2 linked regions of the Oryzias latipes genome follow. Each later gene encodes a partner of the first gene's protein in a complex. Links are inferred from orthologs where the notes say so. Each region holds a gene or a part of one and is shown in the gene's direction. Other genes may lie near its edges.

Region 1 (6,384 bases):
AATTATTCACGTCATAAGTCATTCACGCGGATATGCTCTCTGTACGCCGGCAAAAGCCGCTTTCAGCGGTAACTTCCGTGTCTCTGTGACCCATATTCGTTCAAAAAAGGAACATGAAAAACAAAAATGATCACTTTATTACCGTCTCAATGAATATAAGAAAAATATCAAAAGATTTATGATAACTAGGCTGCTTTGTCAAACGATAGCTCCTGCTAGGCTAGCTCCGCCGCAGAGCTCTCTGTCTGATCATGTATGCCGGCATTTGGGCAACTGGCTGGTCTGTTGTCAGACAGCTGATATTGTAGTTTAGGGTCGAATAGGAATAATAATATTCAGGACTTGTCTTTTATTAACTTTAGCAGTCAGTATTTTTACATTCGAAGGCTATTAGGCTACATGCTAACTGACTAGCCGATCATTTCCTGTTATTAATTTACGTCATAGATTTACAGCAGATACCTTCACATTTCTGTCTGTGTGTGTCTCATTACATTGCATTGAAGACACGGAGGATGTTTAGAGAACAGATTTATTTATTTTATTTATAAAAGCACAGAAGCATCCATCGTTTTCACGTTCACATCTGGTACGCCCTCAGTCATCTTGCTGCAAAAGCCGCTTCCTGCCGCTACTTCCGTGTCTCTGTGAGCATTCAATAGGGGTAAAAATAAAAGCAAGAATGGTCGATCTGTTATTTTCTCGATGAAAATCTGAAAAATATCATATTAAGCTGGATGCTTCGCCTAAAGCACTTACCTTTAGCTTGTAGCATAACAACAATAGCAGTACGTCCCGTTTCCCAGAGTGCTTTGCTGCCAATCACTAGCCAATCACCGTGTCCCTGTGACCAAGGTCTAACAACAAGACCAATGATTGGCCAGTGATTTGCAGCAAAGCACTCTGGGAAACGGGACGTACTGCTATTGTTGTTATGCTACAAGCTAAAGGTAAGTGCTTTAGGCGAAGCATCCAGCTTAATATGATATTTTTCAGATTTTCATCGAGAAAATAACAGATCGACCATTCTTGCTTTTATTTTTACCCCTATTGAATGCTCACAGAGACACGGAAGTAGCGGCAGGAAGCGGCTTTTGCAGCAAGATGACTGAGGGCGTACCAGATGTGAACGTGAAAACGATGGATGCTTCTGTGCTTTTATAAATAAAATAAATAAATCTGTTCTCTAAACATCCTCCGTGTCTTCAATGCAATGTAATGAGACACACACAGACAGAAATGTGAAGGTATCTGCTGTAAATCTATGACGTAAATTAATAACAGGAAATGATCGGCTAGTCAGTTAGCATGTAGCCTAATAGCCTTCGAATGTAAAAATACTGACTGCTAAAGTTAATAAAAGACAAGTCCTGAATATTATTATTCCTATTCGACCCTAAACTACAATATCAGCTGTCTGACAACAGACCAGCCAGTTGCCCAAATGCCGGCATACATGATCAGACAGAGAGCTCTGCGGCGGAGCTAGCCTAGCAGGAGCTATCGTTTGACAAAGCAGCCTAGTTATCATAAATCTTTTGATATTTTTCTTATATTCATTGAGACGGTAATAAAGTGATCATTTTTGTTTTTCATGTTCCTTTTTTGAACGAATATGGGTCACAGAGACACGGAAGTTACCGCTGAAAGCGGCTTTTGCCGGCGTACAGAGAGCATATCCGCGTGAATGACTTATGACGTGAATAATTATTGCGTTCGAACGGATTAATTATTGCGTTCGAACGACATAATTATTGCGTTCGCACAAGTTAATCATTTCGAGGGAACGGAATAGTATTTTGAGGGAACGCAATAGTATCTTGTGGGAACGGAAAAGTATCTTGTGGGAACGGAATAGTATTTCGTGCGAACGACATAATAACCTGTGGGAACAAGATATTAATCTGTGGGAACAAGATATATTTTTATATCTTAATGTCAGGACACGGGCTCCGTAATTTTATTTTTAGGTTTGGGGTCTAAATGTGTGTCTGGATTTCCCGGCATGCAGCGCGGCAGGATTCCCCCTCGCAGCCGTCACATCCAGGCGGACAGCAGTGATGGCGGCCGGTGAGACTCACACGTAAACACCGCCTCCAAGTCGCCGCTCTCCGCTAAGCGCTCAGGGGCAGCCGGCCTCTTCCACGGCGGCGGTGCCAGCGCGACAAGTACCCCGGCGGAGACGCGCGAGGCCTTCGGCGCCTTTTTTTTTCCTTCTTTAATATTTAAAATCGGTTAGCTAATCATTAAGTACAAACGGCGCCGCACGTTCTAACAAAACCCGAAATATGGACGAACACCCAGGCGGGGGAGGAGCGGCCTCCCCGCGGCCGCCGCCGCTGCAGCAGCACGGGAGCAACTCCGGACCTCCCATCGGAACGGTCATGGTGCCCCAGCAGACGGACGAGTTAGCCCGGCCACAGCAGCAGTACACTATCCCGGGAATTCTACACTACATCCAGCACGAGTGGGCCCGGTTCGAAATGGAGAGGGCGCACTGGGAGGTGGAGCGGGCCGAACTCCAGGTTAGTCCGTCGCTATGGGTTAGCTGCTTAGCATTAGCATGGTTAGCTTCTTTTTTTCCACAGTCACCGGGGATCTCAAATAACCTTTTATCGGTATACGTATTAACGTGAATTTAAGGTAGCGACCGGAGCCCCACTGACATGTCAAGGGGGACGAGTAACCGGCGTGGAGGTCTGTTATCCAGCCGGGAGTCTGAGTGCGTTGGCCGTTAGCTTTGGAGCCCGTGGCTCAACTGAGATATCGGGAGCCTGCAGCCGCCGTGGATACGTTAATCGTGCTGTTTTGACATTTGGACCAGATGTTGGTCAGATGTTGTTCGTGACAGTCAGACGACCCTAAACGAATGACCTTACCGATTCAAATCCGTGATTCTGGAGGTTTTTTTTAATCAACCTATACATAGAAAAGTGGCTTTTTCTGGTTCTCTGGTTGGCTGCGAAGCATCTTTCAGGTCACACCTCCCTCTGGAAGATCTCCTGCATTCTAGGTCTTTATTTGCTGTCAGTTTTTTTATTTATTTACATGAATTCCTGTACATTTTCCATTTGAAGTCTGTGGATTTCTCCTTGGAAACAGCCTGTAAACAAACATGACTTCCCGATGAGAGAAGCGGGATCTGGAGCTGCTCCATGTTCTTCATGGAGCTCCAGGTGTGTGTTGGCTTTGCCGTGTCCAGCAGCAGATCTGCTGCTTCTACATCTCAGTTTGTGTGACAGAAGCAGACCCTTTTGGGTTTTTAGAAGGAATATCTGGCATCATCTCAGCTGTGGAGATGTTTCTGTCGGGGGGGGGGGGGGGGGGACGCTTTAATAAAGGCTAAAAACAAAATGAGAGTGTTGGTAGTGATATCATTTCATCACCATTGAACAATAAGGTTACTCCTCAGAGCCATTGAACGTATTGTGAGTCTCCAGGATGAGGATGATGAAGAGGCCGGAGGATTCTGCTCTGATCCTGGTCTGTGATGTCACAACCCAAAGGATGGTCCAATCAGATATTTATAGAAGTAGGTGACCCTGAACCAACGTCAGGCTCTCACATCAAACTGCATGGATCTCCCTTTTGGAGATTTGATATTTAAATTCCCTTAAAATTTAACTCACGAAGCAGAAGGAGACACTGGTGGGTTTATAATAACGAGGAAAAAGGAGTTAGTTTTAACCAAAATATGCTTTTTTTTCCTGTTATGGCATTATGTCTGCGCTGTTATTGATGTACACAATATTTTACATAATAAATGTGTTTTTAAATCATTCTTTTTTTATTAGAAACTGTCGAATTCTTTCATTTTTTAGATTTTATTAAATTTTTCCTCCTCATGTTTTAAGTCTTTTTGTTCTTCTGCAATGTTGCCACTAGATGGCACTAGATGTTTACACAGCAACCTCAAAAAGCCAAAAATAAATGTAAAAAAAAAATCAATTGTATTGTATCTTCCAGCTTCCAGAGCCACGTTTTGCTCCTCTGGACATGAATTCAGAGCAAAACTCTGACAGTGTGACGTCGTCGGTCTTAAATAGCTGTACTGACACAACGACAGTGGCGTTTTAATGAGGTGACGTGGTTGAATAACTGCAGCCCACATGTGCTGTTTTGGTCAGGGGTGTTGAGAAGCTCCCGATGACTCACAGGAACTCTGTCTGGTTTGTCATCGCCATACATTTAGGCTGAGCTGCTCACCGAACCTCCTTTCCAGTGTCTGATTCATGTAGGTGTCACATGACCTCACTCAACTCAACAACCATGTAAACAATCTTTAAAGAGTGACTCCCATATCTTTCAGAAACCTATCATAAAGAGAAGATCCAGGAGGATTTGGTTTCTCTGGAAGTGACTCGGTTGTTTTCTTGACACAATATTTTTGTGTACATAAGAGTTTTGAAACATTTGTTTCTGTTCTGCGTCTTTCCAGGCCCGGATAGCGTTCCTGCAGGGGGAGAGGAAGGGCCAGGAGAACCTAAAGAACGATCTGGTTCGAAGAATCAAGATGTTAGAATATGCTTTAAAACAGGAAAGGTAGGAACCCCGACTCATCTCAATTTATTCATTTTATCATCTAAATGTTTGAGACCAAAGAAAAAAAAATCTCTGCCTTCAAACAGGAAAACGACTAAAATCCAGAGGGAATGCTTCACTTTACGAACAGAGAATTAGGTTCGTTTGGAAGTGATTTCATAGCAGAAAAACAAGTTTCAGGTCAGAATCAATGTGAAAAACCTTGACCCAAGCTTAAAGTTGATTCCCCTTGTGGTTAAAATCATTTTCATCTTTTAAAAACAAGAATTTTATATTAAAAGGATTAAGATTTTTCTCTTTGCTTTTGGTCTTTTGAACATCCAATTCAAAATATATCAAACATTTATTTCATAACATATCAGATATATTTTTTTGTTTAGACAATTAAACAGAAAATTGAGGGAAAGGCATCAGAAGAGGATCAGCAATAAGGACTGGACTGAAAAAGTCAGGAAAAGAAACGTTTTTAGGAAAGTTTGCAGAACTTTAAAACTGAATTCATAAGAAAAGTTTAAGGCAGAAATCAATTTAAAAAAACAATGTTTTCAAAGTCTGTTTACATGAAACGACTTTAGATTTTGAACTTGATCTTTGAGGTTGACATCTGTAAGAATAAATAATATTTTTTTCTCTTCCTCCTAGAGCGAAATATCACAAGTTAAAATATGGAACAGAGCTGAACCAAGGAGAGATGAAGATGCCAAGCTTTGAATCAGGTCTGAAAGTCTTCCTCAGTTTCATTTCTTGTTTCTTTCACTCTTTCCTAAACGTATTTGATGGATTAAATGCTAATTATCGGATGAGAAAACTGCTTTAATACATTAATTAGGGGGTGTTAGAAAAAATCGTTTCGGCGATATATCGCGATAGTTCATTTGGCGATACTCGTATCGATTCAAAATACTGTCAGGACGATATTTATTTAATTATTCTTCAGCGTCTTCAGCGTCTGACTCTTGCTGTCCACTTCAACCTCCGGCCACTAGTGGGCAGCAGAGAACATGGAACCTCTTTGAGGAGCTCTACACACAAGACAACAGGAAGACTGCAGCCAGAGTCAGCTTGTTTCGTTGTCATGCGACATGAACTACTTCATTTTTACTTGGGATGGGAACCGAACCATAACTCTGTTCCATGTTGCTGCAATTAACATATAAAAACGCGAATTGTGGTGCTTTTTAGCGGACTCGGACAAAAACGAGTGAAGCAGTGCAGCTGCACAGCGGCTAATCTAATGCACTTAGCATCGGCCAAAATGCTATCGGCAAAGTGGGCCAAAGTTCTGCAGAACCTCTCAGCAATAGATTCTAGTTCAGCGACCTGTTAGAGCAGAGTGACGTTTACAACGCTCTGAAAAACGGGCAACGTCGTGGCGATAACCGTTACTAGTTGACCTCCGTGTGTGAGAAGGAGCTGCAGTGCAGACTGCAAACAAAGCGTCTTAGCCACATTAAGACGCTCTCCTTCATCCTGTCATGCTGCCTCATCATCACACTTTATTGTTTCTGGAAAAATAATAGTGATTCTATAGTTTATGTTACCAAAATAAAAGCTCTATGAATTTGCTTTGGTAAAAGCAACTTATGTATGAGATACAGTTACAGTGCTTAACATTATGATCATTAAATAAACTGAATTTGACCATTACATTACAATGAAAAGACGCATTGAAATTCAGGTAGAGTTTTTCTAAGTCATATTTTTTATTTTTAAAAAGAAAGAAAATGTGTTCCCGTAAAATATCGGGATACGTATCGTATCGTATCGCCCGACTCTTGCAAATACACACCCCTACTTCCCTCAGGTTCCCCTGAGAAAAACGCAAACCTCTCGTGAGTGAAC
Region 2 (4,884 bases), on another chromosome or scaffold:
TGTCCCTGGGGGGCATCAACCCACTCGTGGAATTAGCATAAAATAAAATAAAAAGTCGCAGTTTTCAAATAAAAACCCCCAAGATATCATGGTTTAAAATATATACATTATTTTTGAATCCTAATTATAGCATGTTTTTGTCCAAATTCCATATTATTTCTCTTGTCTCATGGGGTGGATTACCTTATCCCCGCACTGATCTGCTCCTGGTCCGGCCTTCTGTTTGCTCACCCCTGGTGTAACGTGTGACCTGCGTGTTTTTATAAATACTTTGGGTTCTTTTCCGTGTTCTTGTCCAATTCTCGGTGCTGTCGCAGCAGTTGGCAGTGCTGAGGATCACACGCCTGAAAGCTGGTGTTGGAAAAGAAACGAAATGAACCGTGACGGAGGGAGCAGTGTTGTGTTGCAGGCAGCGTTTCTGTGTCTGCATGCTTGTTTGAAAGGAAGTGCTAACAGCCAGCGGTGCTGCTTCTGTCCACCCTCCACCAGAACACCCACCTGGACCCGGAGGAGTACTTCACCAAGCAGGAGCGCATCGGGAAGGGCTCCTTTGGAGAGGTCTACAAGGGCATCAACAACCGCACTAAGGAGGTGGTGGCCATCAAGATCATTGACCTGGAGGAGGCAGAGGATGAGATAGAGGACATCCAACAAGAGATCACAGTGCTGAGCCAGTGTGACAGTCCTTATGTTACCAAATACTACGGGTCCTACCTCAAGGTGAGAGAAAAGCTGCAACTGCCTGCTGTTTACCTGCAAGCAAGGCTTTTATTTCCCACAGTTGAACTACTGTGTATATCCCCCCCCCCCCCCCACCCCACCCCACCCCCCAGGGGACCAAGCTGTGGATTATCATGGAGTATTTAGGTGGAGGATCTGCTCTGGATCTGGTAAGAAGATTTCCATTTTTATGGAGATTACAAATTACACAAGACGCCGCCTTGCTTACTTTTAGAGCCTGCCGGTTCTCTCGCCCTACTTCTGATGTCTTGGTTTACCCGCCGTCATCGTAGCTCCGCCCAGGACCTCTGGAGGAGACGTACATCGCTACCATACTGCGGGAAATCCTGAAGGGGCTGGAGTATCTGCACTCCGAGAGGAAGATTCACAGAGACATCAAAGGTAAAACGGAAGACCACTTAGAGAATCTTCACCCAGGAAACTTGTCAGGAGGGGAAATGGACTCACCCAATGTGTGTGCTGGTTCTGGATTTGTAACCCATCCATTTTGTCTTTAACTGAGGGTACTTGCTGTTGTAAACGAATATCAAAAACGTTCAAATCCAAAATACAGTTTACGCAGGCACAGCTTGAAATGACATCAACTTCAGACTAAGTACAAATTCAAAAAGTCTCCCAAACATAAAAAAACCCTTAAATGGTACGCTCCAATCGCTTGATACACACACTCAAAACCACACCTACACACAGATCAGAGTCACAAGAACACCAGGATGGATGGATGGATGGATGGATCTTTATTTGTCAAAGTCATACATACAATGAAATTAAAAGTGCCTTCTGGTCAGTGCAACATTCATCCATTAAAAAAAAATGTAAACAACTTACTACTAAAATAATACATAAAACTACATAAAAACCTCTGGCACCACCCCCTCTGACACCGCCCCCTCTGACAGCTCCGCCCTCTGGCACCGCCCCCTCTCGCTGTGCCAGAATGATTGAAAGTTTGAGGGGGAAAAATGGAAGATTTGAAACTCGAATAAAAAAACTTTTAATTATTACCAAATGAAAAATATTCTTTATAAAGTTTGTAGTTCCAGTTTAGAGCTGAAAGCACCAGAAGCGCTTTCAGCTGATGGGAATCATGTCACGACAGCCAATGAGCTTCCTTAACTCAGGTTCAGCAGAAAAGACTGAACGTCTGAATTCAAACTCTAAACGTAAAACGGAAATTAAAGAATAAAAAAAGAAAACAAAAACAACAGCAGCTGTTATGAATAAACAATATTTTTCATTTAGTAACAGTTTAAGCTTTAAAGTTTTGTTTTTTAAATTGAAGGTTCAAAATTAAAAAAAAACATTTCTTTTCAAATGTTCAATATTTTTAGACTTGAATCATGCTTAAGCCTGTTTTGAAGTGTTGACTTTTTGTCTTCCAATTGATGTGACCCTCTAGTTGTGCCTCTTTAGCCGTCCTGACCCGAGGCTGCAGGTCTTTCTAGCTAGTTAGTGGACACGGCAGTGACTGACGTCTGTCTCCTAGCTGCCAACGTGCTCCTGTCAGAGCAAGGCGACGTGAAGCTGGCAGACTTCGGCGTGGCGGGACAGCTGACGGACACGCAGATCAAGAGGAACACGTTTGTGGGCACGCCGTTCTGGATGGCTCCAGAGGTCATCAAGCAGTCGGCCTACGACTTTAAGGTGAGGGAAGTCTGTTCCAGAGCTGAAGAGCGTCTGTGGTGCTGACCTGTCTGGGAGGGGGCGCAGGAATGCTGAGCTTTTGAAACAGCCATTGAATTCATTTCTGTTTGGAAAAGCTTCATTTGGTTCACCTTTCCTTACACTCAGGCGGACATCTGGTCTCTGGGAATCACTGCCATCGAGTTGGCCAAGGGGGAACCCCCCAACTCTGACCTACATCCCATGAGGGTCCTGTTCCTCATCCCTAAAAACACTCCTCCCACGTTGGAAGGGCCGTACAGCAAACCGTTTAAAGAGTTTGTGGAGGCCTGTTTAAACAAGGATCCCCGTTTTGTGAGTGAAGCTGCATTTTCACCTCCAACCTTCTGTCATGTGATGGCGCTCTAGTGAAACCTTGTTTGTTGTTTTAAACCATCAGCAGAAAAAACGGATCATTTATGTATGAATCCAAGTCATGTAGGAGGAAAAGAGAGACATTTGGTAAATGAGGGAGAATGGCCTTCAAGTGTGCATAATCTGAATTTAACGCACGCCGAGGAAGTCTGGACAGTAAAGTGTGTCGCTTATACCTTGGTCACTTTCAAAAGAAATAAATATTCAACCAGTTTTTAGTCCTTTAATCTTGTTATTTTTTCAGTCTAGATCACTTTTTTTCACAAAAAGCGGACTATTTGTTAGGTGGTGCGGCGGGTCGTCATGGTAACATGACGGCACCAACCTCGACTGCAGCCGCAAAGGAAAGTGATAAATATGCTGATCGTCACGATGGGTTGAATAAAGCATCAGTTCAGAGAGAAAGTTCACCTCTTACCGCTTGTTTTTGTCCAAATGATGAAGATGAAGGTTGTTTTAAAGCCAGCGCAGTGATACAGAACATCTAAGCTTTGTGACCGGAACTTCTTTTTTAGGCGTACATTAACAGTTTTTAATGCACACCCAGCAGCCAATCAGAATCGAGGATTCACCCGGACCGTGGTATAACTCCTCATGAGGACCATGCGCGTCTGATCTTAAGGAAAACCCAGCTGCAGGGTTCTTGTGTGCTGACCCGGTTCTGTCGGTGTTCTGGCTCTTCACAGAGGCCCACCGCGAAGGAGCTGCTGAAGCACAAGTTCATCACTCGCTACACCAAGAAGACGGCTTATCTGACGGAGCTGATAGACCGGTACCGCCGCTGGAAGTCGGAGGGACACGGAGAGGAGTCCAGCTCAGACGACTCGGACATGTCCGTTTCAAATTTCTCTCTTCATCAGCAGCATGGCAGAGCGTGCAGATGCTCCGGCGCTGAACCAAAGAGGGTTCTGCTGCATGTGCACGATTGCTTCCCTGAGTGACAACAGAGCTGGGATTTCTGTGTCTGGAGTCTTCACGTCTCCTCCTTAAACACCCCTCTCCTGTCATTCCTGCAGGGATGCTGATGGGGACGGAGAGCAGTGTCCCGTGTGGACCTTCCCCACCGTCAGGCCCAGTTCTATGAGCCAGTTACAGATGGACTACGCACATTTAGAGTCGGGGGTGAGAACCGCAGCACAGAGCCTCAGACCTGACAGGTTTGCCGTGACCCTCTGACCTCTGTTCCCCTGCTTCCAGTCAGGAGACTCCATGAAGAGACAGCCCAAGTCCCAGTGCCTGTCTGCTTTGGTAACGCCCATCTTCAGAGAAGTAAGCCGAACGCATCTCAGTTGTAGAGACCGTACCAGAGCGGGCTCAGAAAATGCTTTTCCCGTCCAGCTGAAGGACAAGCGGCGAGCGAGTGGCGGCGGGGCAGGAGCCATAGAGGAGCTGGAGAACGCCTTCAACCTGGCAGAGGAGTCGTGTCCGGGCATCTCCGACCGCCTCGTCACGCACATGATGGAGAGAGTGTGCAGGTGAGGCGGCGGCCCCTGTGCGGCCCGCGCTGGCCTGTGCAACACGCCGCCCGCATTAACCCGCCATCCTGCTGTCTTCCAGGTTTTCTTTAAACGGAAACACCGCTCCCTCCTCACGGTGAAACCAGCGGGATGTGATGAGCCAGCCGCCCCTTTTCCCGTCACCTGTTCAAGTTGTCAGATGAAATGTGCCCCACCCCCTCAGAGATCTTTTCATTAGCTATGACGACATATTTTTAAAGGTTTGCTTCCAGAGTGGAGAGTATTTAAGAGGAAAAGCCATGACCCTTAAGAGCGTCGTCTGCCCGTTAGACTGAGAACTGCTACAATAAACTCCACAGAAAATCTTTCCTTGTTTTGGTTTTTGAACGACATCAATAAGATTTTGAAAGCTGCTGACTGTCGTCCCACAAACTCCCCTCATGAGACGATGCAGAAGACCCCAACCATGCAGAAGGGGGAACATTGTGGAAGCTCGGCTGCTAACAAAGGGAAACCCGCAGCGGTCTTCACATGACGTCAACAAACACGGCGTTACACTGATTAATGAACCGTTTTCCAACTAAACGGGTGAAGCCGCCTGAACAGAACTGTTTCCTCCAACTCTGCCCTCAAAGCGTTTCGGAGTCGA

Evidence for each region.
Region 2: strn3 (region 1) and stk25 share a complex: the UniProt entries of both Homo sapiens proteins name them as parts of the core of STRIPAK complex. The link is inferred for Oryzias latipes from reciprocal best matches to the Homo sapiens genes STRN3 and STK25.

Annotation. Positions count from the first base shown.
Region 1 is NC_019880.2:2,600,980-2,607,363, reverse strand, and holds the start of strn3 (striatin-3), read left to right. Parts: upstream 1-2,027; 5' UTR 2,028-2,288; coding exon 2,289-2,525; intron 2,526-4,438; coding exon 4,439-4,542; intron 4,543-5,184; coding exon 5,185-5,258; intron 5,259-6,384. UniProt on the Homo sapiens protein: Calmodulin-binding scaffolding protein which is the center of the striatin-interacting phosphatase and kinase (STRIPAK) complexes.
Region 2 is NC_019875.2:5,717,226-5,722,109, forward strand, and holds part of stk25 (serine/threonine-protein kinase 25), read left to right. Parts: intron 1-489; coding exon 490-720; intron 721-833; coding exon 834-890; intron 891-1,013; coding exon 1,014-1,122; intron 1,123-2,227; coding exon 2,228-2,385; intron 2,386-2,532; coding exon 2,533-2,718; intron 2,719-3,464; coding exon 3,465-3,610; intron 3,611-3,794; coding exon 3,795-3,900; intron 3,901-3,975; coding exon 3,976-4,047; intron 4,048-4,116; coding exon 4,117-4,253; intron 4,254-4,335; coding exon 4,336-4,375; 3' UTR 4,376-4,884. UniProt on the Homo sapiens protein: Oxidant stress-activated serine/threonine kinase that may play a role in the response to environmental stress.